2 linked regions of the Alligator mississippiensis genome follow. The protein of the gene in region 1 interacts with the protein of each later gene in a pairwise test. Links are inferred from orthologs where the notes say so. Each region holds a gene or a part of one and is shown in the gene's direction. Other genes may lie near its edges.

What was found.
Region 2: the proteins of BRAP (region 1) and NUMA1 interact in a two-hybrid assay, tested with the Homo sapiens proteins (2 studies listed by BioGRID and IntAct). The link is inferred for Alligator mississippiensis from reciprocal best matches to the Homo sapiens genes BRAP and NUMA1.

Annotation. Positions count from the first base shown.
Region 1 is NC_081833.1:3,672,069-3,687,746, reverse strand, and holds the start of BRAP (BRCA1-associated protein), read left to right. Parts: upstream 1-8,351; 5' UTR 8,352-8,457; coding exon 8,458-8,539; intron 8,540-9,940; coding exon 9,941-10,102; intron 10,103-11,087; coding exon 11,088-11,289; intron 11,290-12,144; coding exon 12,145-12,334; intron 12,335-13,931; coding exon 13,932-14,045; intron 14,046-14,803; coding exon 14,804-14,952; intron 14,953-15,678. Other genes in the region: ACAD10 (acyl-CoA dehydrogenase family member 10), read right to left, coding at 293-474, 892-960, 1,054-1,195, 3,950-4,109, 4,791-4,949, 7,297-7,491, 7,841-7,989, 8,090-8,207. UniProt on the Homo sapiens protein: Negatively regulates MAP kinase activation by limiting the formation of Raf/MEK complexes probably by inactivation of the KSR1 scaffold protein.
Region 2 is NC_081824.1:477,662,714-477,678,592, reverse strand, and holds the start of NUMA1 (nuclear mitotic apparatus protein 1), read left to right. Parts: upstream 1-8,124; 5' UTR 8,125-8,143; intron 8,144-12,328; exon of another isoform or gene 12,329-13,271; intron 13,272-14,279; exon of another isoform or gene 14,280-14,365; intron 14,366-15,879. Other genes in the region: ragulator complex protein LAMTOR1, read left to right, coding at 1,320-1,412; LRRC51 (leucine-rich repeat-containing protein 51), read right to left, coding at 4,968-5,109, 5,522-5,670, 6,079-6,284, 6,683-6,780, 7,767-7,909. UniProt on the Homo sapiens protein: Microtubule (MT)-binding protein that plays a role in the formation and maintenance of the spindle poles and the alignement and the segregation of chromosomes during mitotic cell division.

The DNA of each region.
Region 1 (15,678 bases):
TGGCTCCCAACTCGGCAGGAACCGAGCCCTCGAGATAGCATTGCTGAGAGCTCAAAGAGCCCTGTCGCGGACAGCAAGGCCCAAGCACTGGTAGGATGCTTGGACGACTCTGCAGAGATCGCAGACCTCTGAAGCATCCCCAGCAGCTGGGAGAGGCGGCTCCGACGGGCCTGAGGACCAGTCCCACCTCCTCTGCAGCTCCCCTGCCCCAGCGCTGTCCAGATCTGGCCCATGTCCCCAACACAACAGAAGGCCATGCCAGCACCCCAATGCCCACGGGTTTCCTTCTCACCGTGCTTCCCATAATCCTCCAGTCCAGCTGCTTTGAGGTCCACGCTGTGGATCTGAGCAAGGACTTGGTTCATGGCAGCGTAGATGGCCCTGCGCTGGCTGGGCTCCAGCCCGGGGAGGGAGGGGTCCTTGTAGATGTGGCCGGCGCAGTACTCCATCAGGTAGAACGGCGTGCCAATGATGCTGGGAGGCAGGGGAAGCAGAGGCCTTTTAGTGACTGTCCTTTGGGACTCTCAGTGCTCCGAGGTGGCATCAGGGCAGGAGCGAGATCAGAGGCTCTGGGGTGCCTCTGAGGCCCCCTCTATAGGTAAAACCTCGCCTCCATCCTGTTCCAAAGCCACATCCCTCACCAAGGCAGGAACAGCAGCCATTCTGTCTCCACTGTCATCCACAACCTCTGTGGGCAAGCCTGATGTCCCTCTGCTTCCACAGCAGTGCCCGAGTCCTAACAGCTGCTGTCCATGCACATCCCTCTGCCTGACTGGGACTGTGGCCTCCCTGCCAGGGCCATGAGCTGCTGTCTCCTGCACCCCGTCATAACCCGGGTCCCCACGGCAGCTGCTGTCCCACCCACAGCTGAGCTGCGGAGAAAACGCTCACCTGGAATCTTCGCAGAGGGCCAGCGCTCGAGGGACAGGCACGCCGGACTCCGCCAGCGCCCTCAGCACCCTGCCGGGACAAGCAGCGGTCAGTGCAGAAGGGCTGAGTCCAGAGGGAGCCCTCCCATGTTCCCCCATCCAGGTGCGTACACCATCTTCTCACCTGTACTCTCTCTCCACAGCATGCGCGGATGGGAGCAGCTTGCCTGGGGGCTTCTTCCTCAGCACTAAGCGGCGGTCCCCGTACTCCACGTAGTACGTCGGGTTCGACTGGCCATGGCTAAACTGCCGGATGAGCAGAGAACCTGCAAATTCCAAAGCAGAGGCCTTGTGGAAAGCAAAGAACAGGAGCCTAAAATGGCCAGAGCCGAGGCTGAGCATCGCTGACTTGAACCAAAGGCCTGCTGAGGACCAGGATGCTCCGGCTGCAGTCTGGAGGGGGGAGGCGCACTCAGTCAGACTTAGCAAAGCTAACGGGTTGGGGGCTGTGTCCCAGGCAGAGCTTGCTGCTGCCTCTTGGGTCTGTATCTCTGTGCCTGGGTTACTGCAGTGAGCTCTCTCGCGCAAGGGGCTGTACGCTCGGCCCAGACCTGCAGGGCACTGACTTACACAGGTAGCCAGAGGGCCGCCTGGAGTCCTGCTGAAGTCAAGGCAGGGCGTCTGGGAGCCTGGGACTGCTCTGTGTTCTGCAGGGGCTTTTCTGCTTGATCCCTCTGCATGGCTGTGCCTCCCCTAGGCCCCAAGCCTGTGCCCTGTGCCACAGGAACCTCTCTGCCTATTGCCAAAGGGGCAAAGGGAGACAGCTCCAGCAGCAGCCCAGGCCAGCTCCCTGGTGGAGGTCTGCAGCTGCTGGTGAACTTTGAACCTTTCGTTACTGGCCTGGCTTCCCTCCCATCTTCCACTTGCGCTCCAGTGATTAACTAGCAGCCCCGATTACTCCGATTCAGTAAGCTGCTGTGAGTGCTGTCAGCAAGAGTTCTTCACCAGCTTAAAGTGCAGTCAGCGTGAAAAGGGAGAGGGTGAAAACAGCCCCTCCTGACTTAGTTCCCTGTGAGTTCTTGACCAGTGCTGCTGGCTTTAAAGACAAAAAGCAGGGGTTTTGTTGCATCTTATTCCTACTTTGCCAACGTGGGCAAGAGAAATTCATAGACAGGCCTGCCAACTAAAACCCCACTGCAAAACCCTGGTGGTGACAGATGATACAGGAACTAATTTATATGTATACAATCCAGTTAGTCTATAAGGTGCACATCTACCCAGCCTTCTGCCTGATGGCAGACTAACATGGCTACCTATGTCTCTCTGATATCTGGAGCCAGGAGACTCCATCATGGCTCTGATCGGTGAGAAAACTCATGTTTTTATGTGAAAACCGAGCACATCTGATCTGTGGTTTTTCTGAGTCACTTTTTGGAACAGAGCAGAAACGTAATGGACTCTCATTTAGGTAACACTGGTGTCTTTGTTTGGCCAAAGCCTCTGACCCGTGAGGTTATAGCATCTAAGTCAACGATCCCCTGTCCTTACATTAAGGCTCAGGGGTGATCTGATGGCCACCTATAAGTTCATCAGGGGTGACCACCAGTATCTGGGGGAACGTTTGTTCACCAGAGCGCCCCAAGGGATGACAACTAGGTCAAACAGTCATAAACTACTGCAAGACCGTTTCAGGCTGGACATATGGAAGAATTTCTTTACTGTCCAAGCCCCCAAGGTCTGGAACAGCCTGCCACCGGAGGTGGTTCAAGCGCCTTCACTGAACACCTTCAAGATGAAACTGGATGCTTATCTTGCAGGGATCCTACGACCCCAGCTGACTTCCTGTCCTTTGGGCAGGGGGCTGGACTCGATGATCTTCCGAGGTCCCTTCCAGCCCTAATGTCTATGAAATCTATGAATTAAACTGTAGTGAGAGTCTGGAAATCAGGGGCAGATGAAAGAAGCAGAATAGGCACTGGTTTTGGAATAGTTACAAGGCACAAGGACTTCCTGAAGGTTTTAAAAACTGGTTGGCTTTTTTTAAATCCAAACTAATCCTGAGCTTTTAAAAGTGTCTGGTTTGGTTCAGGTGCCAGGGATAATGGGCAGTGGGGAAAACAAGCATTTGGGCCTTTTCTATGAACTGGTTCTCCAAGCCAACTATCAAAGAGAGACCAGCTGTCAGCAGAGACTCAGCGTTTGAGGTTCTTAAAGCCCAGTGCCAAAGGAAACATTGTCGTGATTTGTTTTGACATTGAAATGAAAGAGGCATTTTTTTTAAAGCATATCCCTGCAACGTTCACCTTCCACATCTCACACAATCCAGCCAGGGCTTGAAGACATGGAAGTGAAATGGGCTGGAAACAACAGCAAAGTTTCCCGGTCTGTTTACGATGCTGCAGCAGAGTGAAGTAGCCGGTTAAACAACCTGCCTGAATCATAAAAGGGAAATGATAGACGCTGAATTCTCTCTCAGAATAGTCCACATTGTGGTTAGCAGCATAGCTACAGCAAGTGGTCATATTTAAATGACAGTGGATCTGGCACTGTTGCTTTAAAACCTGCCTTAATCTAAGGCTTTCTAGATGACAAGGCACTTTCATTCTGGTCCCAAAAGGCAGTCCCAGAGCTGCGTGGCCATGGCAGCGACTGGAATCCCCTGGCCAAGCAGTGAGCGCCTGCCAGCAGCATCAATCACTGGTTCTTACCCATTAACAAGGGTTGAGCAAAGAAAACCCCACTCTAATAAATGCCATTTAGAGGCCTTGTACCCAGAGGCTTCTGGCCAGGCCGCACACCCCTCTGCACTCCAGCTAATCATGGTGCTGGCAATTAGAATGAGGCTAATTCCAACGTCTGGAATTAGAATGAGGCAGAATCACACATGAGATCTCAGAAAGCATTACCGAGAACGCTTCAAACAGACCAGCCTTTTGAAAAGAGTATGAAAAGGTGCTCAAGTCATGAGAGTGCTTTGTTACATCCCAGTAGTCAGTGTTAGGATTGTTACACACCCGTTAGTCTTGTGCAGGAAAGAGACAACAAATCTTTAGGGCTGTAGGGCAGGAGAGTTGTGATACCTGTTGTGTGGCTGCCTAGGACATTTTCCAGGTACTTCTGCAGAGGCACTTGTGGGATTTCCATGGTTGGCCTCACAGAGCGAGTGAATGGAACAGCCCCCCGCAAAGGGAAACCCAGGAAGTTTTCTAACTCTTTGAGAGCCACTTCTGGATCATCGACCTGATATTGGGGCAAGAGGGAGGGTTAGGTTGTAAATGGGTAAAAAACTTCCAACTGTTTGGTCCATATGGGTCATTTGGGACGACCACGCGCTGAAGGCAAAACTAAGGCTACTTTAGTCTCCTTTGAGCACCTGTTCTTTCCATGTGTCTTCTCTGCAGCCCTTTAAGCCCTTCCCCTGGAAGACAAAAAGGCTTTGCACTGCAAATACAGGCTGGGACATGTGTGTGAATGTCCCCAGAGAGAGGGCCAGAGGGAAGCAGAACTCGGTCCTTCCAGGGGTCCCATCCTCCGTCTCCACCTCCCTTCTCCTCAGCAAAACCCTCTTTCACCCTGTAAGCCAATCAGCCCCCACGCAGCTCGCTTCCAAAGTGAGGTCAGTCTCCCAGGCCTCTGTTGGGTAAATTTTGTTCTTTCCCAGGCGAGGAGCTGAGACGCAGAGAAGATAACTAACATGCACAAGGCTGTGCAGAGTTGGAGGCAGAGCGGGGAATGGAGCCTGAAAACTCAGACCCTGACAGTGAACCCTTGTTCAGCCTTGCAGCGACAGCGCTCACTTGCCAAACAAAACTATGGGCATGGGCAGCGAATGAAATACCGCAAGTCTGGCTAGACTCGGGTAACCATACGCAGCCCATTCAAGTCAAACCCCCAGGTGGCTGTGCCAGTGCTGCTCTGTACCTTCAGTGTGTTCATGCCAAGCTGGGCTGCCGCTTTCAAGTTCTGGCCAATATCATCCAGGAAGATGGATTCATTTGGCTGGATGCCCAAACGCTCCAAGCACAACGTGTAGATACGAGGGTCTGGCTTGCATATCCCTTCCCGGCAGGACTCGACTATCTACAACAAAAACCAACCATGTTGGAAGCGGTTCCACAAAAAGCCACCACAATTCCTGTTCACGAACGTCAGGGAAGTTGTAAGAACAGAGGGCACGAGTAAGTGTGAGACTCCTGTGTAGCACAATGAACAAGGGGCAGGGTGCTGGCAGGGCTGTGCTCGCTGTCATCCTTACAGGGTGGGAAGGAACTGACCCAGGCAGCTGAATGAGTGTTTTGCTGCCTCTTGCCTCAGCTGGGACAGTGCCAGATAGCACAGGTTGAGCAGCACCAACCAGTTCTTGCTGGAGAGCCATCAAGGAATATGGCTGTGAATAGACACGGTGGATGGTCCTCTTTCCCCCAGAGTCAGTGCTAAACCAGCAGCTCATGTACTGCTGTGAGAGGAAATACAAAGTACAGTCCTGACTGTGATACTTATCAGCCATCCCAGCGGTAGAGACCTTAGGCCCAGGGTTTCTGACCCCCTTCTAATCTAGAGAAGAACATTTGTCTCCATCAATTCCCACTCTGCTTAGAATTGAATGCAATATTAGCTTATTGCTTAGAGACCACATTGATAGGCACTGCAGAAAGAGAGCTAAGGCATACATTCTCCTTCACTTCCTGTCCTATATTAGTATTGCCTCATGTTGCCGGAAGCTGTTATACAGCAACCGCATTTCACAGGTGGTGACATTTCATTGCAGGGTGTGTTCTGTGCACAGGATATGGAGTCATTTCTGTGCTCTGAAACTGTGTGGAAGAAAAGGCATTACAGAAACAGAATACAGCATTAGAATAGGGTATTTTAAGAGGCCAGTTTCGCTATGAAAACTGAACAGAAAATAATCCCTATGTTAACAAGGTGACTTTTCTTCACACACGCTTTTTTTCCCCCTGCCTCATTAAGGCTATAAAACAAGGCCAAACTTTTAGAGGTCTGCTGGCGCACACAGCAAAAGAGGACTGTGTTCAAGGTTATGTCATTCAGAAGGGGCTGAACTGAAAGTACCTAAACTTTCCTCTTAATGTATTAGGAGTAGATCTGAAAGAATAGGGCCACATCTAGAGTAAGCCGAATAGTTCATCTAACCGGAGAGCACTCATGATTGCCCCGAGTAAACGTGCGTGAACGAGGTATAACTTGTGGTTAAAACAAACGTGAGGAAACAGTGAGTGCAAAGGTCCCTGCCGAGCCCGGAATGTGCTGAAAGCTCAGACAGGTTTAAAATGACAGGCCAGCAAACACCTGATTATTGACTTAGGTCTAAAAAGACAAGCCACAAGGCAGCTAAAATGATCGTGAAGCCAAGTGGTTAACTGAGAGCCAACAACAAGGAAGGCTCCTGTCTGAAAATTGAGGAGCAAATGTTCTAGCAGCCAGCGCGTGGTGGAGGAAAGATCACTGTCTTCGTACACGACAGCCATAGTTCAGAAGCATCCAATAGCTCCGACCTCACAAAGCTGCCCACGACCCGGCACGGTGCCTGCATTAGCTTACCCCGCAAAGGAGAGCACATTCATGTAGGACTGATCTATCCCTCTTCATCCACGCCAGGGCCAGGCCTTCTACCTGCCTAGACCGAATCTTGGATTCTGGGACACACAGCGGCAACCTCCAGTGGGGAAAAAACCCGATATGCATATGCAAAAGTCCAGCGTGCTGACTCCCCACAGCCCACTCAGCTCCTGCACTAAGGGCAGAGGCTTGCACTGTAGCCACAATGGTCCTTTCTCTCCCCTGGGAAGATGCCAGCTGGCCAGCTATGGGACACCACACCAGGCACAGCCTGTATGTCACGTGCAATGTGCTTTCAGACCGATCGAGGTGGAGAGTGCTTCAAAAGGGTAAAAGTGCTAATTCATAGATGTTAGGGTCGGAAGGGACCTCAATAGATCATCGAGTCCGACCCCCTGCATCAGCAGGAAAGAGTGCTGGGTCTAGATGACCCCAGCTAGATGCATATCCAACCTCCTCTTGAAGACCCCCAGGGTAAGGGAGAGCACCACCTCCCTCGGGAGCCCGTTCCAGACCTTGGCCACTCGAACTGTGAAGAAGTTCTTCCTAATGTCCAGTCTAAATCTGCTCTCTGCTAGCTTATAAAGCTTTTCATCTTCTGCGCCTCTTGCACGGTACATAAGCAGAAGCAGGTCTACACAGTACGCCGGCGCTTTGCGACGACCCACTGAAAACGTAGGCGCCCGCTACTCCCTAAAACCCGCTCGGTGGGTCTGTTACAAGAGCCGTGCCTCACACGTCGCACTAGCGCGCGAGGCGTTGCTATCACCACTGTCGTTAGCTCGGCACCTGCCTCTCCAGTATCGCGCCGGGTGCCTTTCATACGTCCGAGCACATTTGGGCTTACCACATCAAACTGCTTTCGGTCGAGGGGCAAGAAGCTCGCGCCGCTGCGCAGGTAGAAGTTGTTGCTCAGAACCGCTGTCTTCAGGCCCTCTGCCCGGATGCGCCGTATCGCTTCGGTCATCGCGGGGAGCTGCTGTGACATCTCTTTGCTGGTGAGGTCGGAGAGAAAGGAGTCCACCGGAACGGGGGAGCCTGTCTGAGGAGCGAGAAACACCCCCCAAACGCTCATCAGCCTCTTTACAGAGAAAATAACACTTGCCTCTCCCTGTAACAGAGCTCGCCGCCTACGCTGCTCGCGCTACGGCGCCCGGGAGCTCCTGCGGCGACTAGCTCTACAGGGGGAGGTGCCGGCGTCCGGGGACGACGCTAGGACGGGAAACAGCTCGCAGCTCCTTTATTTCTCGACCCGCCCGGTGACACGAGGGGTGCCGACGCCGGGAGCAGCGTGAAGCCTGCGGCGCGGCGGGCGCGTGCTACGGCGTCTCTAGGGTTTACGGAGGCCGGAGAGAGGCGTTAAGAGGCGGGAAGCGGGGCGGCGGGCTTACGATGTCGAAGCACTGGCGCGCGAAGGCTCGCACGAACTCGTCCGCCGTCAGCTCCCCCCGCATGTACTTCATCCAGGGCCGGTCGTGCCCGCCGCAGGCCACAGCGCGCCGCACGGTGCCGGGCGGGACGCCGTTCCGCACCTCCCAGTCTGCGCGGCGAGGAGGTCGTGGTTAGCCGTCCCCGTCCAGCCCTGCTGGAGACCGGCCGCCCCGGGTGGGGGGGGGGAATGACGGGGGCCGGGCACTCACCTCGGGCGCACGCGTACGGGGAGGGCAGCAGCACGCCGCCCATGTCGAAGACCACGGCGCGGCAGGGGCGGGCGGCGCGGCGCGACCCCCAGACCTGCAGCAGCCAGCGCAGGCCCATGCTGCGGCCTGCCCGTCACCAAGGCAACCCCGTGACCTTTGCCCCTGCTGGCGACTCTCGCGAGAGCACACCACCTCTTCACGTGACCAGGCACGTTCCCGCCCCCACTACATACGCACGCACACGCCCCGCCCCGCGCGTGCGCGACCTCGCGGGGTCAGGGGTCAGAGGTCTCCGAGGCGGAAGCGGCTCATAATCGCCGCCGCTGTGCCTCGGCCGGTGCCGTTCGGGCCCGGCGTCCCGGGGCCTTATGAGCGTGCCGCTCGTGGTGATCCGGCTGGAGCTGGCCGAGCACTCGGCGCCGCCCGCCGCCTTCGCCTACAGCGCGGCCGGTGCGTGCGGCCCTGCGCCGCGGCCTCCTCCCTCAGGGGCCGGCGGGGGGAGGGGAGTGGGGGGCATTGGGGGGGAGGGGGCATTGTCCCCTCAGGGGCCGGCGGGGGGGGAGTGGGGGGTTGTTGGTGAGGGAGGGAGCATTGTCCCCTCAAGGGTCTCCCCTGTGCTGGGTCCTGCTCAGGCAGGGCAGCTCTAGGTGGTTTCTGTGCGTCCCTTGTTGCTGCCTCTGCGCTCCCAGCCTCGTCCCCGTGTCGAAGCAGACCCACCCCGTGCCCCTGGGTGAGCGGGGGGCAGGGGGTGGGAGCCCCCTCAGGACTCGCCCCCCACAAACCCGGAGCCGCTCTGCGGAGGAGCTGGTAGAAGCAGCCGGCCCACCCCTGCCGTCACAGCGGGTCCCGTGCCCGCCTCTGCCCAAATGACCCGCGAGAGCCGAAGCGGGAGGGATGGACGAGGCCAGGCCCGTTCCCTTGAGGGGGGGCATGTTTCGCGTGTGTGAGATATCGACTCCCCAGTGCGTCCTGCCCGGCCCGCGCGAAGATCTCCGCTTTCGGTTAGCGCTGCCGGATTCACGCAGGACGCGACGCGGGCGTGTAAAGCGCCCGATGGCGACGGGGGAGTCGGTCGGGGCGTAGGGTTGAGTCTGTCTAGACGAGAGCGAGGGGTCGCAACGGGAGGCGAGCAGGCAGCCGGCGTGGAAGGAAGGCGAGATGTTGTTTTTCACGCAGCGGGTCATTAACGGGTGGGACGTGTTGCCGGCAGAGGCGTTGGAAGCTGAGAGTCTAGCCAGATTCGCGAAGGGATGGGACACGCTCTTGGAGGAAAGCGATGTCTGTTGTGGCTGTTGAGCTTGGGGAGCGCGGGGCGCGGCCCCTCAATCGGAGCTTCCCAGACCTGAAATGCTGGAGGCTGTGAGTGGGAGAAGAAGTAGGGGGGGAAAAAAACCTCTGTTCAGACCCAGTTCGTCACTCCTGTGTAGCATCCGTTGCTGCCAGCGTGTGGCGTGGGGGACAGGCAAGATGGATCTAGGGTCTGACCCAGGAAATGGCAGTCCCGATGTTCTTGTGCTCATCTAATGCGTCTCTTTTTTGGTCTATGACAGAGTAGATCTTCCCCTGACTGACAGATGTCATGGCTGGTTACCGCACTCAAACCACCGCGTGCCAGGTCGCAAGGGTTACGTGTGTGGCAGCAAAACAAACTTTTTTTTTCCCCCCCTCCTCTGGTTGATGGTTTTACTCTGCGGAAGAAGGAATAAAAGCAGCTTAAAGAATTATTGTAATGACCTGGTAGAGACCTAATGGCTGTTATTAGGGAAGCCTGCTCTGCCTTCCTTCCACTGGCGTTGCTTGTTTTTTGCTCCGGATCACATTGTTTAAGTAGCTAATTGTTTTCCTCCTTAGCCACTCAAATGTCTGATGAGGAAATCAAAGAAAAGTCGCTTGCTTCTGCTTCAGCCTGTTTAGAAGGAAAGGCGCTGGTGGAAAAAGCAGCTATTATTCACCAGCATATTGGCCGCAGAGAGATGACGGATATGATCATTGAGACGATACAGCTTGACCCAGGTAACCGTTCTAAAACTTGAAAAAGGTGTTCCAGTAATCGGTCTGTAATGCCTGTAAGGTTTTTACTAGTCTAACATATGGGTATTCTCTTAAAAGTATTAAATTTGCTTGCAAGTTTCTTTGGGTAGATGTGATAATCATCTTTATCAGACCTACTGAGTAGTTGGGGGAAAAGTTCTTAGCAAGCTTTCAGGCACAGTCACCCTTCATCAGGCAAAGGGAGTCTCTGCTGGCCATTTAAATTGGCTTGACTTTCTAAGCTGCTGAGCTCCTGGTAAATGCAAATCCTGCCTTTTAAGGACATGAGAAGTGATGCCAGTACAGTTTATAGACCCAAAATCTGATCTAAAACTTCTCTTAAATAAGGATGGCTTGTTGATAATGATTAAGAGCATTAATGTTGCGAGTCACAAATTGCAACATTGAGCGTGCCCTGGTTTGATTGTGTGTTGTTACCTCTTGTAACTATCTTCTTTGAATAGCAGGCGGATATTGAAACTCTCAGTTGTGCCACTGAGATACTTTTTTTTTTTTTTTTTTTTTAACCCTGCCCTTAAAATTGCACAGCATAGAAAGCTAACTGAAAACGAAGCAATGCAAAACTAAGCACAGGGATTATCCTAACTATATTGATTGCTTTTATGTTAAGTGCAATAAAAAAATTAACTTGTAGTTGTTGGATAACAAAGTAGCATACTGCAAAACTCAGCCTGGCACCCTTCAGAACTTGTCTGACTAGGTTTGCAGCGCCCGTGACCCAGCTAAAAGGTCTCTCAAACTGGTGCCTAAATATGCCTCAGTTCTGTTGATTATTCAGTGCGAGGAGACCACTGTTTAGAAGCACATAATTTATTCTGTGCTTTACGTGTCATAATTTGACTTTTTGAATAACTAAATCCTCTCTTGTACATAAGATTGCACTTAAAATGCAGTTGAAGTTTCTGATGTGTGGTTCAGTAATCTGAACACTTTTGATTTGTAAAAGATGAGACAAAAGCTGCAATGGAAGGAAGAAAATCTGCAGAAGCTTCATCCATTGATGACACAAGTAAACATGACAGTCAGAGTAAAGAATGTGAGGCTGCTCCAGACTCGCCATCAAAACAACTTCCTGACCAGATTTCCTTCTTCAGTGGGAACCCATCAGTTGAAATAGCTCATGGCATTATGCACCTGTACAAAACAAAGTAAGAATGTATTTGACTCATTATAGATCTAGTGGGAATTGCACCATGGACTCTTGCCATCCAGAAGGGTGAGTCAGGAACACTAGGGCTGTTGCTACAGGACTGATGGAGCAATGACGCACAGGAAGCCTGGGGTATTGGCACCATAGACAGTGTCTGGTGTAGTCTGACTTGCGTAGCTGCTTTGATGGTAGTAACTTAAGCCCAACCCTTCCAGCTGTGGGTGAGGATGTCTCGGAGAGCAAGTGTTCATGTAAGCAGTGGGAGTAAAAACACCAGTTGGAAGATGGCCCTAGAAAGATCAGGTGTGAGGGGATCCCACAGACAAAGATCTCCTTGTTCATGTTCCCCTGGAACGTTAAAATGAACGCAAAGGTCTGCACTTCCCAAGTTTATTGTTGCAGTGATGGCATAATCGTATCTCCTCCCTTAGGGAGCTGAATGAGAACCATCAATTTCAGATGTTCTTGAACGTGGCCAGGACACAATGGCTATTACATCAGTAATCAATATTGCTTGTTTACTCTAGAAATATTTTGAGTATTTGTGGTTTGCAAGGCCCAGGTACTCTTACAAAAATACAGCTATCAGAATATGTACTGTGGGTCAATATCTGTTGGTTGCACACGTGAGCCCTTTCTTTAAAGATGACTAAGTACCTTTTGGGTGTCTTCAGACTTGTTACAACCACCTTTTAACCCTTTAACTGTGTACAAATAGGCAAAGAGCTTTACAATCACAGGTACATTTAAATTGTGAAGCATGAAATTGCTGTATGGTCTCCTGTGTAAGCTGGTCTTAAGATGTCAGTCTTGACTTCCTCAATTTTAAAAATCTACTTTATTGTCTTCTTAGTAAGATGACCTCTTTGAAAGAAGATGTGAGGCGCAGTGCAATGCTCTGTATTCTCACGGTGCCTGCTACCATGACCAGTCATGACCTGATGAAGTTTGTAGCCCCGTTTTATGAAGTCATTGAGCATATGAAAATCATCCGGGATTCCACTCCGAACCAGTACATGGTATTGATAAAGTTCAGCTCACAGGTAAAGCCCAGAAGTGTGGTGCCAGGTTTCTACTGTTTGGGAAATGGGCTGCTGTGTGAACACTAATTTCAGGCGCTGTCCAGTTTTAGTGGCTTGCTGTTTCCTGAGGTCATGGGCCTTTGCTATGAGAGGCTTCCTGTGATGTAATGTTGGGGGGGTTTTTGTAAGTGATACTGATGCTGGCCCTCCATTAGCCTTCATCATAGACCTACAACTTGTACAGTTGCAATGCTGTTATGCACGTCCTGGCTTACTACTTGCTTTATCATAGCCAGCAGAGTATTAAGATCTAGACAAATCCTGCCTGACTTCAATACCTCACCCATTAAAAACCCTGTGGAAGAGAATGCAATAAGCAAATACAGATGCTCACTAAGATATGAATGCATTGTGCAGTCTGTCTTAGCAGACCAAGAAATAGCCTGATCTCTGTGACAGCATTAGTTCCTATGGAAACTGAGGATAGCAAGGAGCTATTAGACCATCTAGCCTATACTTCTGTTGCGGTCACAGGGACTGACCATTCATGCGTACGTTGCTCCCTCCCTCCCAGAATTGTGAGAAGGGGGTGGGAGGTAAGATTGAAGTGAACTAGATGACCAGATACTTGTGGGTCTCTTCCTCAGCTGTTACAAGCTTAACACTCCTGTGTTGTGCACAACGTAAATCCCACAAGCCTATTTAAAGTAAGCCCCCTTCATAGAAACTCACTTGGGGGCAGTGTCTGATGCCAACCATCTTTGTACTAATTCAACAGAGTTTTTGCCCAGTCCACTGATTCAAGACAACTTCCCACTTGTCTTTTAAAACTGGCGGACTCCCTGCTTCAGCAGGCCCTCACCAGCCATCTCTGCATGCAGCAGAAGCACGTTTGAGTTGCTCTACATTTTATTTCTGTGTAAGTGTGTCAGTAAGGTGTGTGGTGAAACTGGAACAGCTTCATGTTTCATCATTCAAGAATTGGGAGACAGGAATGAGAATGCCTTGACTTCCAGCTCGCTTTCCTCCTGACGGTTGGATTGCTGACTGTAATAAGCCAGCACTTGAGATGTTGTGGCTCATCCATAATAACTCAGATGGGTTATTTTGTGTTCAGTCAGCAGTGCTTCTTTTCAAGTAATGCTCTGGTATGAAGTGCTTCAGTACACATCTGCATAGAGTGAGCATTTGAGCTTTTTCTGCAGGTAAATGATATACTGTACAAATCTTGATCCCTTTGAATAGGGCCCTCTGATGGCAGTGTCTTTCTTCCAGGCTTTTGCAAAGAAACAGCAGTTGCTTTCAGTTAGTGCCAAAATTGTTGACTGCAGACAAAGCTGATATTAAAGAAAGAAATTGGCTAGTGCTGTTTGAGCAGTATGTTTGCAAGTGTCCAGTGCTGAGAGCTCTTCAGTTCTTCTGCCAGTTTAAGTTGAAAACTGCTGAATCCAATGCAGAGATGGAATAGTGATTAGCATACATCAAGAGATTTACCTATGATATATGCTTGTTTGGGCACTTGGAGCGGTGGGAGAGAGGATATTTAATTCTCATTCCTTCTTGCTTGGTAATGTAAGCTGCAGGTAGTATGAGTCTTGTTCCTCTGGTCTGTTTTTAGGCAGATGCAGACAGCTTCTATATGGCATGCAACAGCCGACAGTTCAACTCCATAGAAGAAGACGTTTGCCAGCTGGTGTACGTGGAGAGGGCTGAAGTCTTCAAATCAGAAGATGTAAGTTTCCTTTCCAGACTGTATTACAAGCTGTTTAATAGGATTAGCTGGAGCTGGACAGGGCAGGCTTGTCTGCAGGGGCTGCAGACCTTTAACTGCCTCAAGTCTGACTGCATCTTGCCACTGCAGCACTGCATTTAGGGGAGCAACCCTGCCTTCTGAAGTTCTGGGACCTTATACATCCAATCTCCTGGTCTCCCTCTCTGGAACAGTTATGTTCTGCTGAAATCTGAATAGGGCTTAGTGCGGCTAAATATCCTTTACGTTTGGCCTGCTGGGAGGAAGATGTATGTTTAGTCCCAGAGGCATGTGTTTCCTCACACCTTATTAGCTAGTTAATTCTCAGTATTTCAAGCTGATCATTGCAACACCCCTCTAAGAGGTTGATGTGAATCCTGTTTAAAACATGGAGGAAGCAAACTGCAATTAAATGACTGGTCAGAGGGAGTGCATCAGAGCTGGGAATGGAACTTGTGGGTGTTGTCAGAGTCATGTCCTTGACATAGCTGGTCTTGGAGGTGTAGGAAGAACTCATGAGCACTGTCCCAGACGTGTACTCTAATTGGTGCCAGACTAAGTGTCAAAATGGCCACAAAGGGTAGTCACTGCTACCTCTGGTAGAATTTTTAGGCTGCCTATAATTTTACTAGGATTCATAGCGGTTCATTTAGGCTTTTGTGTTCAGAGTGCAGTTTTTAGCTGTACAACTTGCTTGGAGGAGGTCCAGCAATAAGCCTGTGTCCCTTTTTCTTGTGCAGGGAGCCAGCCTTCCTGTAATGGATCTGACCGAGCTCCCAAAGTGCACAGTGTGCCTGGAGAGAATGGATGAGTCTGTCAATGGGATTCTGACCACCTTGTGTAACCACAGCTTCCACAGCCAGTGTCTGCAGCGGTGGGAGGACACCACGTAAGAGATGTTGCTTTGCTTTTCTGTAATTCAAAGTACCGGCTTTGCAGCTGTGCTCCTCTTCTCTGTACTGATGGGGCTGGCTTTGGTCAGCATCTGCTCTGCTGATTTTTTTTTTGATGTCTGAGTTTCTGCAGACATGGTGCCATTGGCAGCTGTAGGGCCTGGAAAATGTCCAGGATGAGGTCTCTGCTCTAAGGAGACTGCAGTCTAATTTAGATATGCAAATATACCCAATACATCATGAGCAAAAAGCTAATCATCTAGTTAATAAGTATTTCCCACTTCCTACATGCTCAAATTCAAGATCAATGAAAATTTAAGCAAAATAATTACTCAAACAGGCTTGGAATACCCTGTAAGGAGCAAAAATGTGCCTTATAGAGTCTAGAGGTTCTATTTGGTCGTGAATCTGCATAGTCTAGTGTTTAGATTGAACAATACAAATTCATTTTGCCTTCAGACGATGAGTGGCATTCACACACGAGAAGATTAAAATGACTCTTAAACAGAGGTCTTGGATTTTAAAATCTCCGGATGATTTTAAATCAATTCATCCTGATGAACTGCAGGATATAAATGTTATTTCACATGACAAATGTGGTTTGCTGGTACATTTTGTCCTTAAAGCCCATGCGTTTTTTGTTTGTTTTTGTTTTTAATTATTTAACCTTAATTCTTATTCCATGAGATCCCATTAGGTAGAGCAGTGAGGTACATGTCAAT
Region 2 (15,879 bases), on another chromosome or scaffold:
GAGGCTGCTTAGCAGCTGTAAACTGCTGTCTCATTAGAGGGCCAAGCTCATTAACGATCAAACCAGGAAGGCAAGGTGAATGCTTGCATCTGTCACCGGAGGTTAACAGGAAGGTTTGTGCGGACCTGCTTGGACTGGGCTTCTATGGGATTTCTGACCCCCGTGGGCCTTGGCTGGGTCTGTACCTGTATGAGAAGCCAGAAACAATGGTAGCCTGGTGGCACTTGTTGCTGAATAGTGCTGAGCCCAGCACAGTGTTTGTGGGAGCTGTGCTGGGGAAAAAGGCATCGTTCAGATAGAGATAGAGGTCACGATACTTGACCAGAGCAGTGTTTGGAGCAGTTCTTGTGTCGGGGGAGCTTGAGTCTGACTCTTGCTGTCATCTGCTTTCTACTCCGCTGTGCATTTCCAGCCGAATCCAGCCTTCCCCGTCCCCTCGGATGTGACTGAGACAGGAGCTGAGCACCCTTCCTGTGGAAACCCTGTGTGCATTTGTAAAATGCCTTGGGGCAAAGACTTAAACTTCCCATCCTCAGCTGCTGCTCCTGCCGCCTACCAGAAACACACTGCCCCGAAGCCACAAGCCCCACGGGGCTGCCATAAATGACCCTCCTTTTCCTTATCTTGGATATTTTTCCTTATCTTAGATATTTGGATATCTGACCACCTCTTCCTTGGCACCTATGTGGAGAACACCGGCTCCTGGGCTTTCTGCTGGGCCTCGTGACCCTGCTTCCCCATAGGGCAAGAGGTCCTGGGCTGGATTCTCCCTCACTTGAGGCAGTGCTTGGGCAGCTATCTGCAACTGCAGCTGACCCCAACCCTCCATGTGCTTGGGTTATCAACAGGCAGCATTTCCCCTGGGGGTGGAGGCGAGCCTGCTTTCCAGCCAGCTCTGCCACGAGGGCTCTGAGACTTCTGTACATCACAAGGGTCAAGGGAGGCACCTGGCAGCTTCAGCTCAGGGTCTCATTCTCCCAGGGACTGGAGGCTGGGGGGGGGGTGGGTGTGACAACATGGAGAGCCCTATATGGGTTGTAGCTGCAGCCGTGGAGGGGAGATGTTTGGCTGGGGCCTTGACTGCCTGGAGTCACTGACTGCGGAGAGGCTGACCAGCAAGCTATTCAAGCTGCCTCTTGGTGGGTACAGCCTGGAAATGCACCTGCCTCTTCCCTTCCCTGCCCCTGCTGCAGTGACCAGCCCTCTTAGGCCAAGGCCCCTCGGTCATTGGCATTGCAGCCAAACACTGGGTCTTTGGGGTATGGTTCTCTTTCCCTTTCCCATCACAGTCCTTCATGTGCGTCTCTGCTTGTCCCCAGGTGTCCCGGATAGCCGCCTACGCCTTCAGCGCACTCTCACAGATCCACGTGGATGCAAAAGAGGAGCTCGTGGTGCAGTTCGGGATCCCCTGAGCTGGCGCCCGTGCCTGCCCGCACCCCCTCGCTCTTTCTGTTGCCCTCTTCCTCTCTCCCACGGGCGCCTCGCTGCCACAGAACTTGTACAGATCCCCCCACTTCCTACTAATTGCCCAGGAGACCGGCACCATCGCCCAGGCCCCGCTGCTGTAGGAGGCCAGACCTGGTCCCAGGCTTTCCTTTTCTCTCATGTATGTGTGTGTGGGGGGGCAGGCCAGCATAGCGGTGGGGAGGGGGGATATTGTATTTCATAGGAAGCCTGTATTGTTGAGCACAACGGGAGGCATTTCTCCAGCCCCCAGGTGCCCTTGTTTCAAAGATTGGGGACAAGACAGACTCCTGGCTCTTGGCAGGTGGGGGTGGGCTTCAGTATCCCTCCCAGTTGCCAACTGCTGGTTCAGGGGATGCTGCACTTGAGACAATGCCCCCCAGGCCCTCGTATGTTCCTGGAGGGCTGGGCTGGTTGGTGTGTGTGTGTGTGTGACAAAGGCATGGAGCGGGCCCCACTTGTGGCGCTCCGCGCAGAGCTCTGTCTGCCTGACGCCCGCGGCTCCACACGCCCGGGCCTTTCAGTTGGATTTTTTTTGTTGTTGTTTTTGTTTTTTAATTTTTTTTTTGGCACCGTAGATAAAGCCCTTTCATTCAGCCCCAGGTCCCTGCTGTGTTCTTTCCCTGCTGCGAGGCAGGAGCTCCCTCAGCGCTCGAGGGATGGAGGGATGCAGTGAGGACTTGGGAACGTGGTCCCTGCTTTGGCTGCTGTTGGAGGTGGTCACTTGGTCTGATCTCCTTGGACTTCTGCAGCCTGTGTTAGCTGGCTGGCCCTTTTCTGTGCCAACTCATTTCCTGGTCCCTGGATAAGCTTGGTGCCAATGCTGCAGCTGCCAGGGGGATTGCAATCATCGATACCCAGGTGCTGTTGACAGGAGGCCTGTGTTGGTTTCTAGAGCAGGATACCTGGGAAAGACTAGATTTGTGGTGCTGGACCAGGTATGGATCATCTCAGCATGGTGGGTCTCACTCTGCTTTTGGCCTGGAGCGCTGGCTTCTCTGTTTCATCCCCTGAGCCTCTGCTGTTGCCATTGGGCAGTGGCACCCTCAGGCCTGGGCATGAGGCAGGCAGGAGAGTGCGAGTCCCTGCCCTGTGTCAGCAGCATTGCATGCCTCTCCCCCATCACAGTTGCTTGTCCTTGTGTCCCTGTGCTGCTTCTGGCCTGCTGCCTGAGCAGAGTCTGGGCCTGTGATAGTCGGTGAATGTCTCTGTGCTTGTTTTGCCCGCTGGGAGGAGTGCCCAGCTTTTTTCAGTGCCCCCTGCCCCTTCCCCAGGCCAACATTGCAGCTCAGAGCTGGGGGAACCGGCCCTCCAAGGCAGCAAGGCAAAGACAGGGGTTTGCCCCAGTCCCTGGCTACCTTGGGCAGCTGCATCGGTGTGAGCGCAATGATCAAGCTGCATTATGAAAGCAAGGGGTCCCTGCCCTACTGCTCCCATGGGCAGAAACCCAATTCCCAGGCTCTGCTTTCCTGGCTGCCTGATCCCTATCTGTGCCACCTTCTGCTTTGCTGAAAATGTCCCCCAGCTCCGTTTCTAGAGCAGTCCTTCCACTCTGCAGTGGAGAAGCCTGGGCTATGGCTGCAGGTGCTGGGTTCTGATCCTAGACCCCCATGCGCTAAGGTGGCTGATCTCAGCTGGACATCCAGACCCAGCCATAGGTGGAAATGGCAGGACTGCTGCAGCTCCCTGCATTGGAGCAGAGCAGCCTACGTCTCCCCCAGCACATGTGGCTGGGCACTGGCAGAGCCTCATGCTCTGAAATTCTTCCAGCCCTGGCAGCCTCTGGGAGGGAAGGGGGAAACCCCCAGGTTCTTCACTGAGCAACACAGACCAGCTAGGGGCAGGTTTTAGCAGGGAAGGTAATGAACCTTAGGAGCAGCTTTTGGGGAGGGGGAGAACCTAGCAGCAGCTGCCCTTGTGAAATGAGCTCAGATTCAACCGGGAGCAAGGGTGCTGGGACAGCCTGGGGGCAGCCCCTGGGCTACTCGGGCAGGGCAGGCTGGTGTTTGTGCCTTATGGGTCATTGCCACTGGGGGCTAAGTCTGAGCCAGATGCATGTGCATTGCTGAGTGTTTAATAGGACGCTGCCACAGGGTGGCAGGAGCAGAGTACATGGGCACCAAGCACGATGCCCTTCCAGCTGAGTTCTCAGGGCAGCATCTTGCAACAGAGCAGGCAGGAGCACGCGAATCCAAGGGGCTGGGCTGGGACCCTCATGTCCCCCACTGCTCTGGGTCCTGTGTTCTCGTCCCAGCTGGCGACCTTTAGGCTCTGGTGGCAGAAGTCCCTTGCGGGGGGCAGGTGCCTTAATGTGGGTGCGGGGCCCTATCTGGAGCTCTTCCTTGACCCGATGCCCTAAGAAGCCTCTGCAGGAAGGCGCCTTCCCTCTGGGTGGGCTGGTCTCAGCCAGGCGCAGAGCTGAGTCCTGCACCCCTCTACCCCTCCCGGCTATGCTGCTGGCTCCTGTGGCCCTGGGCCAGCTGCTGGGACTCGGAGCAGCAGGAGGGCTGCTCTGTTGTGCCAGGGAGGAGTGAAACTAGCCCCAGTAGGGCCCATCACCCCGTCCCCTCGCTGCCTACGGGGTCCCATGCCCTTCTCTGTAGCACTCAGTCCTTTGTTTCTGGGGCTGCATAGGGGAGAGGCAGATCCCCAGCCTGGTAGCTTGCTCTGGTAGCTAGCTTGCTCTGCTCCCTGCAGTTGCTGCCTGGAGCAATATGTATCCCCATCACCTGGGCAGCTGCAAGGCTGGCAGGGGCAGCTCCTGCGACTTGCTGGAAGCAGGGAGCTGGGGGTGGCTTTAGCCAGAAAGGGGCTGAAATGGCAGGGAAGAGCCTTGTGGTTTACAGGCTTCTGCCAGCTACCTGCACCCCAGGGAATGACGCCTGGCACCTGCCAGCCTGGGACAGGCTGCCTAAGGGCAGGGTGGATGGAAAGGGGCCAGCGTCCTTGCTGTGGCTGGATCCTGGGGCAAGGTACTTCTGGGCTACTGGCCCTCCCCTACTCTGCACCAAGCCACGTGGGTGGGTTCTGGGCTATGGATCCTGCCTTGTGCCTCTGCCCAGCAGTCTCTGGGGCTGCTGTGCTGGGAAGGGGATCATGACTTCTGGTCATGGGCTTATGGCCAGGGCTGCTAGGAAACTCCTCGAGATGGCGAAGGGCACGTACATGAGCTTTCTGGAGGTGCGTGGTGCTGGTGGGTTGTTGCCCTCCAGGATTCGAGCTGCCTTGGAGATGGGGGTTGCCACAGTGCAAGTAGGACTCGTCTCAGGCTAAAGCAGGAGCCTGAGACACCTGGGTCCTTGCCGTTGCTACCTCTGTTCTCAAGACAGCCCCAGCTCTCTGGCACTGGCTCAGCCCAGCCCGTGGTTACTCACGCTCTGCTCCACAGCGCGGTGCGAAGGGTTTATTCCTATGTCCCATGGGGCTTTCAGGCTCTCCAGGCTGGGGAGGGGGCCATGGACCAGTTGTGGATCTGCAGCTGTGGTGCCCGGCTTGAGGCCTCCTCAGGAATGTTCTCTCTTCTTCTTGGCCGCCTTCGGCTGGGCGTTCATGCGCTTCCAGATGGCGGCGGTGGAGCGGTCCTGCTTCGTCACGGCACTGAAGTCAAAGGACTTGAGCTGGGGCAGTGTGGACAGCACGTAGCTCCTGTGGGGCATAGGGACAGGGCTGGCACCTGCAGTCACCAGCCGTGATTGCAGGTGGCCTGCAAGCCAGTGGCCCCGCTGCAGCCTGGCACTTTGCTTTGGAGGGACAGACACGGAGTCACAGGGCAGTCTGCTGGGGAACGTGGCAGAGAGCTAGTCTTTAGCAAGCTCCAGTCCAGGCCCTGCGATGCCACAAGAGAGGCCTGGATGAGCATGTCCTGTGCCCACTCCCAGCTTGGCAGGGGCACCTGGGCAGTGTTGCGACACCCACCCCCTCTGCGGGGCTGCATGCGAGGCAGGGGGAGTCTGCAGGGGTGGCCCTTGACCTCTCCCCTCCCTCTGGCTCCTGTGCCCCCATGCTCTGGGCTGGGGCAGGCAGAGCAATCCCTTGGGCTGGGCACATCCCTGGGTACCTGTAGCCCTTCTCCTCCTCGATGGGGTTGCCATGCAGCGTGAGGCTGCGCAGGTGGGGCAGGACGGCCAGCTTGTCCACCTCGCCCAGGCCCTGGATGCTGTTCGCGTGCAGCTGGAGGCAGTGCAGGTTGCGGTACGTGGTCAGGATCTGCAGAGCCCGAAGCCTGGGGGTTAAGTGGGGGCACATGGGGAGGCCCCGTGACAAAGCGCCCCCCTCCTGGCAGCCAGGAAAGTGAGGCATGGGATAGGGAAAGACCCCCTTCCTCCCCACAATGGTCCTTGACTGAGAGAAGCAAGGGGTGCGCAGCCAGTGGTGCTCAGCACTGGTCTGGCTTTGTCCCATTGACATCTCCACCCCCACCTGGTTACTCTGCGGTATCTGGCTCTACTGCTCTTCCCCCTGCCTCACTCCTGGAGGGTCTGGGATAAGTCTGCAGCAGGGGCACAGCGACCTCCAGCACACTGCACCCATTTCACAGGTGGGGAAAATGAGGCACAGAGAGCAGGTGGTCTAAACTGGGGCCGGCACCAGAATCTGCATCCCCCATGCACCCACCGGGTCGATGGTGGGCAGGTCGTTGAAGGAGAGGTCGAGCCAGGAGAGCTCCTCGGGGTTTTCCAGCAGCAGCTCCAGCGCTGGGCCCAGGTCCGTCAGCTCGTTGAGCGTGTTGTTGTTGAGGCGCACGGCCCGTGTCAGCATCCGGCCCCGCGCTGAGCATGGGATCGTCCTCGGGCTGGCCCGCGGCTCCTCTGTCTGCAGGTCTGGGGAGCGGGGAGAGACGGCTGGCTGGGAGGCTGGGCACAGCCAGGCCCCGTCTGTGCCCGAGCACCCCGGGGTGCACTCTCCACTCCCACGCCTGGCTTCCCGCAGAGCCCGGGGCATGCGGGGCAGGGCTGCTCCTAGGTTTGCAGGGAATGTGGCGTCCTTGTGGTTGAGGCGCTGAGCTGGCACCTGAAGCAATGTTCCCAGCTCTGCTACTGGTGCGCTGTGCCGCCTTGGGCAAGTCCCTTTGCCCCCCCCTCCCCTTCATCTCTGCCCCATGGAGGCCATGTGGCACCGGGCAGCCGGGTGTGCAGGGGGTGCCCCCTCGATGCTCCCGTGCCCGCCCTGCCGTGGCTTCGTGCCCTGCAACGAGGCGGCGCCAGGGGCTAAACCGCACCTTGGAGGAAGCTGATGCCTCGGAAGGAGAAGTCCAGGGGCGGTGCCCGCAGCGAGGGGCTGCAGCTGTTCCAGCGCCAGCTCCGCGTCCCGGCCATGCTGGGGAGAGACAGAGCATGAGTGGGCACGACTGCCCCGGGCTGGTGCTGCCCCCCGCGCTCCCGGAGACTCCCCCGGCTGGTTAGCAGGAGAGGGGCTAGGCCCCAGAGCGGGCCTGGGCCAGACCCAGGCTGACAGGGCCTCATTTGCTCACGCGCTGCAAGGATACACACGGGGGGTGCACGCTCACAGGGCCCTTTCCACTTGTGTTCACACTCACCGGCCCCTGGCACAGATCTGCACGCTCACTAACCCGCTTACCCTTGCGTTCACGCTCACTGGCTCCCAGCACAGGTTTGCATGCTCAGCAGCTCCCTTGCACTTGTTTTCACACTTGCGGGCACCCAGCACAGATTTGCACACTCCTCAGCTCCCTTGCGCTTGTTTTTACACCTGCACAGATTCGCACACTCAGCAGTTTGCATGCTTGTTTTCACGCTAGCTGCCCCCAGCATGGATTTGCACAATCAGCTCCCTTACACTGGTTTTCACACTAGCTGGCTCCCAACATGGCTTTGCATGAGCATCACCACCCTTGCCCTCGCTTTCACACTTGCTAGTTCCTAGTGCAAGTTTTCACACTCACCGCTCTGGTTCCCAGCACAGATTTGCACGCTCACCAGGCCATCTGTATTTGTTTTCATGCTCACAAGCCCCCCTGGCACAGATTCACACACTCATTAACCTGCTTAGACTTGTTTTCACACTTGCCATTTCTCACTGTGGATTTGCACACTCACGCATTGCTAGTTCCCTGCACCAATGTGCATGCGTATCACCCTCCCTTACACGTGTGCTCCCACTCACCACCACCCCACACAGATTTGCACGCGTGCCACCAACCCCCTTACACTTCCTTTCACACTTGCTGCCCCCTGCACGGATTTGCACGCTCGCTAACGCACTCACTCCTGCTTTTGCCCGCGCCCGGCGCGGATTTGCACACTCTCCGCTAGCCCCCAGCACAGATTTGCACATCCACTCACCATCTGCCTCGCACACCCGCTCCTCCCGCGCCCGGCTTTGCACACTCACTGGCCCCCTCGCACGCGCGTTCACACGTGCTAGCCCCCAGCCCGGGTTTGCGTTCCACCCACCCCTCCACCCCGGAGCGCATAATCGTCTCCATGGCAACCCGAACCCCGCCCAGGAGCCGCGCGGCACGCCGGGAAGCCGAGTCCTTCCTTTCCTTCCCCTCCTTCTCGCGAGACCCACGCCCGCCGCGCGCGCGCGGCCTGCTGGGAGCGGGAGTCCCGCCGCCCGCCACGTGACGTGAGCGCGAGCTGACGTCAGTGCCGGGGCAGCCAATGGGGAAGGGCGCGGGGGGGCGGGGTGTGGCGCAGCGGTTTGAATCGGGGGCGAGGTAACGGCCGTGGGGGGGAGGGGCGGTGTCTGGGGTTGTGCATTGAGGGGGGCTGTGCCCTGGGGGGGGGATGGAGGGGGGTATGTATGGGTTGGGCATTGAGATGGGGGGGTGGAGGGGGTATTTGGGGGGGGTTGTGCCCTGGGGAGGGTGGAGGAGGGGTTGGTTGTGCATTGAGGGGGGGCTCTGATGGGGGAGGGGTGGGCTGTGCCCTGGGGGGCAATTGAGGGGTGTCCTCTCCCGCTCCTGGGTCTTCATCTGCTGGTAGCTCCAGCCAGAGGCTGTGAGTTCGAGTCCCGGGTGTGAGGGTTTGCCGGGCCGCAACCGAGTCTAATTTAAACCTTCGCTGCAGGAGGTTGGCGTCTCGGTCAAGCGCCGCTTTCTCCTTTTTTTTTTTTCCCCTCTTCTGTTCTATTTTAGACCTTCACTCCCTCTTTTTTAACTACTGGCTCTTGGCGGTGGTTGCAAAAAGCGGGATTCGAACCTAGCGCGCTGAAGGGTTGGCACGACCCCTTGTTTGATTAATAGAGAGGCTTTAATAACTATACCACAAGCAAGCCGTAAAACTAAATGACAGGCGGGGAGGGCAGGAAACAACTCCTTCCCAATATTCAGTAAATGAGCTGTCACAAAAGTCCGGTATCTGTTCGGCGCGACGGTGTCTCTCGCCAGTACAGGCAAGGAAGCGGTGTCAGTCTTTGCAGCGGCACCGGCGGCGTGGGTGAGAGTGACCAGCTGGGTGCAGGTTGCAATGCTGCCCTGATTTTTTTTTTCTCTCTCACTTTTGAAGCCCATTTTGCCAGCAGCTCTGTTTCCTTCTTCAACTCTTGAATTGTATAGCTTCAAAGCATTCCTCCTGGGTAGTTGGTCGATTGAAGTCCGAACAAAGCAGGTAGGGAGGGGCCGTCGTATTACAGTTGCTAGCAGATCGGATCCTGTTTTGGGTCATCTCGTTGCGCAGCGTGTTTTCTGCAACGTTTTGATTTGTCTGGAGGTTACGCTTGGATCTAACGGGGTGGGTCTTGATTGACTGAACGTGACACCTTGGGGCATTGCCGCTGTTTGGGGTAATTGTTTGAACAGTGGGGCAGAGCCCCAAATTTTCTGAACCCGGTAATGGTTTGTGGAGACGCTTGCAAAACCCCAAACGTATTTCTCCCTGTTTTGAGAAATATGTTTTAATCAAGGGAGGAGGCGTCAACAAGGAGGGTACAGTCACAGAGGGAGATGCAGTTATTTATGAATGGTTTTACATAATAAGACATTGGGTACATTTGCAACTAGAGCAGGAGATGAGATCAATTGGGATTGCTTCATTTCGCATGGTGCCAGTCATGATCTTGCATTCTTGTGCAAGATGCACTGTTGTTGTACTTCGGTCATTTAAATTTCATGCGTAGGTCTGGCCAAGCTTTCACAGTCAGCCACGGTCAAGTCATTGTACGAAGGACCTGGAGTTTGCAAAGGGCATTTTTGCTCTGTGTCTGCATAAATGCACAAAAAGGAAGCTTTCCAGAAGTGGAAACTTGGACAAACGACTAGGGAGGAGTATAAGAACATTGCTCCGGCACACAGGGGTGAAATCAGGAAGGCCAGTTGCAACTGGAGTTGCAGCTAGCAAAGGATGTGAAGTGTCAGACGAAGGGTTTCTACGGGGATGTGAGTAACAAGAAGATCAGGGGACGTGTCTGTCTCTTACTGAATGGGGGAGACAACCTAGCGAGCGTGTCTACATGAGACATTTACTGCAGTGCTACCTAATGAGATCCGCAGTAAAACGTCAGTGTCTACATGTGTGACGCTAAACTAATTTACTCTGCCGCAACATAGTACTTGTATATACGAGCATTATCCTGCAGCGGAGTCCAGTATTCTGCCATAACACACGTGTAGACTGGGACCGGGCTGGCTGGGGCATGAGGATGCTTCAGTACAGGGGCTGCCTGCTGGCTAACTCCACGCTGGAGCATCTTCGTGTCCCAGCCATCCCCTCTGCAGCACGTTGAGCTGGTTTGCAGCAGCCCTAGGCTGGCAGGCTGACTTCCCGGGTCCCCTGCCACCTGGCGCTGCTCTGACCCGGCTCAACGTGCTGCGGTTCCAGGTGCACATGTAAACACAATGCCTGGGAGCAATAAACTCTGGTGTGATACGTGCCGGAGTTTGTATTGCGTTAATTGAACATGTAGATGTGCCCAGTGATGATGTGGAAAAGGCCAAAGTACTCAATAACTTTTCTACCTCAGTATTCACAGACAAGGTTAGCTCCCAGACTACCGGACCCGGCAGCACAGTTTGGGGAGGAGGTGAGCAGCCGACCATGGTGAAAGAGCAGGCTACGGACTATTTAGAATCGCTGGATGTGTACAAGTCCATGGGGCTGGATGCAGTGCACATGAGGGTGCTGAGGAAGTTGGCTGATGTGATTGCAGAGCTGGTGGCCGTCATCTTTGAAAACTGATGGCAATCAGGAGAGGACCTGGACAATTGGAAAAGGGCAAACGTGGTGCCCATATTTAAGAAAGGGAAGAAGGAGGGTCCAGGGAACTACAGACCAGTCAGCCTCACCTCAGTCCCTGGAAAGATCACGAAGCAGATCCTCAAGGAATCAATTTTTAAGCACTCGGAGAAGAAAGTGTTTAGGAACAGTCAGCATGGATTCACCAAGGGCAAGTCATGCCTGACTAACCTGATTGTCTCTGTGATGAGATGACTGGCTCGGTTGGTGCGGGGAGATGAGTGGATGTAGTGTATGTTGATTTTAGCAAGGCATTTGATACGGTCTCCTGCAGCATTCTCGTGGGCAAGCTAAGGAAGTACGGGCTGGATGAATGGACTGTAAGGTGGATAGAAAGCTGGCTGGATTCAGTGGTTCAGTGTCTGGTTGGCAGCTGGTATCGTGTCAGTGCTGAGGCCAGTTTTGTTCAAAGTCTTCATCAGTGACCTGGAAGATGGGATGGAGTGTGCCCTCAGCAAGTTTGCAGATGACACCACGCTGCGGGAAGCAGTAGATGCACTGGAGGGATGCTAGGATTCAGAGAGACCTCAACAAATTGGAGGATTGAACCAAAAGAAATCTCATGAGGTTCCAAACTCTCCATCCTTCAAGGCTTTTGAGACTCAGCTAGACAAAGTCTTGGCTGAGATGGTGTAGTCGGGGCCGGTCCTGTGTTGAGCAGTGAGTTGGACTAGATGTGACCTCCTGAAGTCCCTTCTAACGCTCATGCTTTTATGATTTTATGAAGTATCTGAGGGAGGTATGTTCTCTAGACTTTTCTTTCTCTTATGAGGAAGGAAGCCGTAGGTATTCAGAGCAGTCAACACATTTAACCAGGAGGTATTCTTGGTGTGCTTTTGTCCTTGCCTGTTCCTACAAGAGTGGCCCTAACCTTCTTCAGTTAGATCATAAAATCTTCCCTTTTCCCAGTCGCTGTTTAAGCACCAGTTGCAGTGTACACTGCAGGCATTTGGCTGAGATTATCCAAAATCTTCTATTTCTCCTCCCATGTGGGCTGTATTACTGAGCAGGTTTGTGCAAGATCCTTGTTTTACTTGGGCGTCTTCCAGGAAACGTCAGGCCTGTTGTAAGTTAGCCTGGAGAGAGTAAAAAAATGACTTCTAAGATGAAGCTCGATAAAGTTATGAGCAGGATTATAATGCGTTAGTCTGTGTAAGCAGGGAACTGGACTTAATAGCTCCGGAGATCCCTTGTTGCTGCAGATGAGAGACATGATTTAATGTTTCAGTGCTTCAGCTCTGAATTACTGCGTGAGTGTCAAGTGCAAACCCCAGGCCACCAGCTAGACTCTGACTGCTTCAGTTGGTATCTAATCATGCTTTTATTTCCTCCTCAGTGTCCAAGAGCTTCACATTTATCAAATAACAAAGAGGCAGGAGCTAGCTTGAGATGGGACAACTTAGCAGAGCTTAGGCATAGTATACTGGTACAGATACTAGCCCTTTGACTTGGTTGGTGGGAGAGGGGAGTCATGTACTGATTGTGATTGAGTTTGGAGCGCACCCACTACTCTTCCAGGCTTGCTGCTAACCAGTAGACACAGTCCTCGTCCCAGGAGGGGTTTTGCACCTCTTCAGGCAGAAGGCAGGGCAGGGTGGCACCTTAGAGACTAATTGGTTCAAAGAGACATAAGCTTCCATAGGCAGTGGCCTGTTTCACCTATGAAAGCTTATGCCTGTCTGAACCAGTTGCCAGTCTGCCCTGTCTTTTGTTTGTCTTCAGAGTACCTGTTCAGGTAAGCTCCAAACTCCCACTTCTGCGGTCTTGGGTTTGTCACTGAATCTCTCTGAGCTTCATTTCTTCATCTTCTTTGTCACTGCTCGGCAGATACTTCACTGCTGCAGTGCCGGGTGATAATGCAAAACCCCAGAAGAGATTACACCTCCCTCCCCCTGTCTTGTTTAGACTGTGTAAGCTCTCTGGAGCAGAGGCTCCCTTGCTCCTAGTGGTTACAGCATCCAGCCTGACAGAGCCTTGAGTTCTGTTGGGCTCTTTCATTATTTTTATGGAAGTACAGTCTTTCTTTAGCCACTGGTGTCACTGTGTCTATCAGTTCTGCTGTTTCCCAAAATAATCAGCTGGGTTCCCTTCCTAACCTCAGTCTTGCGCAGCATAGGACAGGTGGAGAGAGAGAGAGAGAGAGAGTTCTTTAAGAATGAAAAAGGTCATAGTAAAGCCATAAAACATGGCAGGGTGATTTGAGAGCTGCTTCTAGTTGGTTGTGGACTTAACCAGTCGGACTTATTCCCCCCCACCTCCTTTTTGTAATTTTTCTGTATTGTGTCGTTTTTTTGTTTGGTCCCAGCTAAGGAGACTGGACTGCCTTTGGCCTTTCAAGTATCCTGGAAGTAGGGAGCTGATCTGCTTTTATATTAGTGTCCTTTGAAACTCTTAATTGAAGTAATTCGTGCTCCTCTGCTGTAAATGCTCCAGGGTTCGATCATCATCATAGTTTATTTGCAGTTGGGCCTGGAGGTGGAGGAAGGACTTCACTACCTTCTCGAGGCCCTTCCTGCCCTGTGGGTCTGTGCTTTGGCACAGTAGGAGCCCCGTGCTCTGTCTCCCGTTCTATGCTTTTGCACTCTAGGCAGCCTGCAACCTGGGATAGCAAAGGTGAGGAGACTGCCACTTATATTCAAATATGCCTTACATTTGTAGTGGCAAGGTGTGAGCCTGCCTTTACTGCTGTGGTTGTTCTGAGATGCCCTCATGTCTAATGGGATTTGGAGGGAAGTGGGGTGTGTGGAAATGTGTCCAACGCATGCTAGTCCGAAAAGAACCTGCTGGCCAGGGTGAAGAAAACCCTGCCCCATGCTCTCCACTGTATCTTGGCCAAAGACAAAGCATTGGGCATGCGCCAGTAAGTGCTCTGTCTCCAGTGTGTTTGTTAGTGCACTGATGGCTCCTCAGAGCTCAGTCTAAAGGCAATGCAGACACCATTAAAATATCTCACTCAGAACAGTGTTAAATAGAATGAGGGTGGGAAGGGATCTTAAGAGGTCACATCCCAAGGGAGGTGGTGCTCTCCCCTACCCTGGGGGTCTTCAAGAGGAGGTTAGATAGGCATCTAGCTGGGGTCATCTAAACCCAACACTCTTTCCTGCCTATGCAGGGGGTTGGACTCGATGATCTATTGAGGTCCTTTCCGACCCTAACATCTATGAATCTAGTCCAACGCCCTGGTCAAAGCAGGACCAGTCCCAACTACATCCCAACCAAGGCGTTGTCTAGCCAGGGCTTCAAAACCTCCAAGGAAGGAGATGCCGCCACCTCTCTGGGTAATCTGTTCCAGTGCTTCACCACCCTCCTATTGAGAGAGGTTTCCCAAATATCCAACCTCAACTTCCCTTACTGCAATTTGAGCCCGTTGCTCCTTGTTCTGTCACCTGCCATTGAGAACAGTGAGACCTGTTCAGACCTGTCTGCAACAGAAGTCCCAATGTGGGGAGAGGGGAGGGAAGGAGCATTATCTTGGTACTTCACAGGTACTTAGGGTAGGGCAGTGGGTTTGTAAACCTCTAGGATCCCAGGATAAAAAACTTTGTCCTGTGATAAACTGGTTGCATTTTTATTTTTTTTATTTTTTGCTTCAGACTTGGTAGCCTTACTTCTTTTCTCTGGATTAACTTTTTGCAGACAGGGCTGAATGCTGGAGAGCATAATGCCAAGCCTCCTGGTGATGACATTGGGAAGACAACTCCCTTAAGGTATGTATGCCCAGCAAAATGAAGGTGTGGTTGAAGTATGTTGGTGTGCTGGGGTTAGCTTGATTTTTAGCTAGCACAAGTAACAAAAGGAGTGAGAACATGGGACTTAGCATGTGCTAGCAAGTAGAGCATGTCCTGAGGATGCCAGAAGGGTTGGTACCCTTGTTGGTAGCATATGCCAAAGTTCACGACGTTGTGCTTCCACTGCTGTTGTTACTCATACTAGCTAGATTATGTTAGCACATGCCACAGTCGCACCTTCCTTTCGCTGTATGGGCATATTCTGTGTTGGAGGAAATCTGCTGTGTTGCCATTGGCCTTGCTAAATGGAAAGAAGAGGTAGAACAGCTTTGTGGAGCACTGTGCAAGAATTCCCTGACTGTAGGTAGAGCTCATCATGCCTTGCCTCATCTTACACCTCACCTGCAAAGGAAAAGCTGGAGAAGGAGGCTGAGAAGCCACTACTTTGTCAGGACATTTGAAGCTCTCAGTTGTCACCCTGTCCTATGGAAAAGAGGTAAAAGACTTGACCAACAATGGTGCTTCTTGATTTGCCATCTCTTGGTGCATCCAAGTGGGTGGGTTGCAGGCCACGGTTTTTCAGAGCCTTAGTGAAACTCAACTGAAAAGTGCAGCGAGTCTGTCCTGATTCAATACAGATTACTCTTTTGAAGGAGGCTGAGCCAGTTCAAGCGTGGCTAAATTAATGGGGCCGATTTGACACGTAGTGCTAAACTTGGGCCCTCTGCTTTTTTCCATAAGTAATTGGGCTGTGGTTGCAGGGAGATTTTTCTCCTTAATCTGGGTTGGGTGAAGTGCTGTGCGTTATGAAATAAGGATGTCAGTGTGGTATTCTGTAATTTCTAAAGTCTTGTATTTTGTATTTCTGTTCTGTGTTGTATTTTAAATTCTGTTCTAGGCCAGTTGTAAGGTATCTGTTTTCAAAGCATAAAAGTGCTCCAGAAACACCAAGAAGGGAATGCTTATTTCGTTGCTCTGTTGTGCACTCTTGCTGCTCGTGGGATTCTCCTGAGATCCAAGCTGTAGATATGGGTATTTATAGTAGTACTCTTTTTGCTGGATGTAAGGAAACTTCCCAATCAGATTTGGCCAGCAGATTTAAAGGGACACGGTCAGAGATGGAAACCAGTATTAATAGATTGGGGGAGCCTTACCCGCTGTTAAAAATACCACTGGATTTTGTTGCTGTTAAGAGTCAGAGATCTGATTTTCTCTTTTGGTAGTCTGCAGATTTGCTTTTTGCCTTGCTGTTGTCTTGGGAAATGCACATGGTGTGAGCATACTCATTCTTCGTATTGGATTCCACTTTCAACTCCACATTCACTACCTCGGTGTTGCTAGTGAATGCTGCACCTGGATAAATAAAACAAGTGGGGAAAGTGTAGCTGATGCATATAGAACTGGCTTTGATAACGTCCAAGTTTTGGATCAGACTGGATCTGACCCCTTCTTAAAGAGGCATGTGAGAAATTCGGGTTAGTGCACCTCTCCAG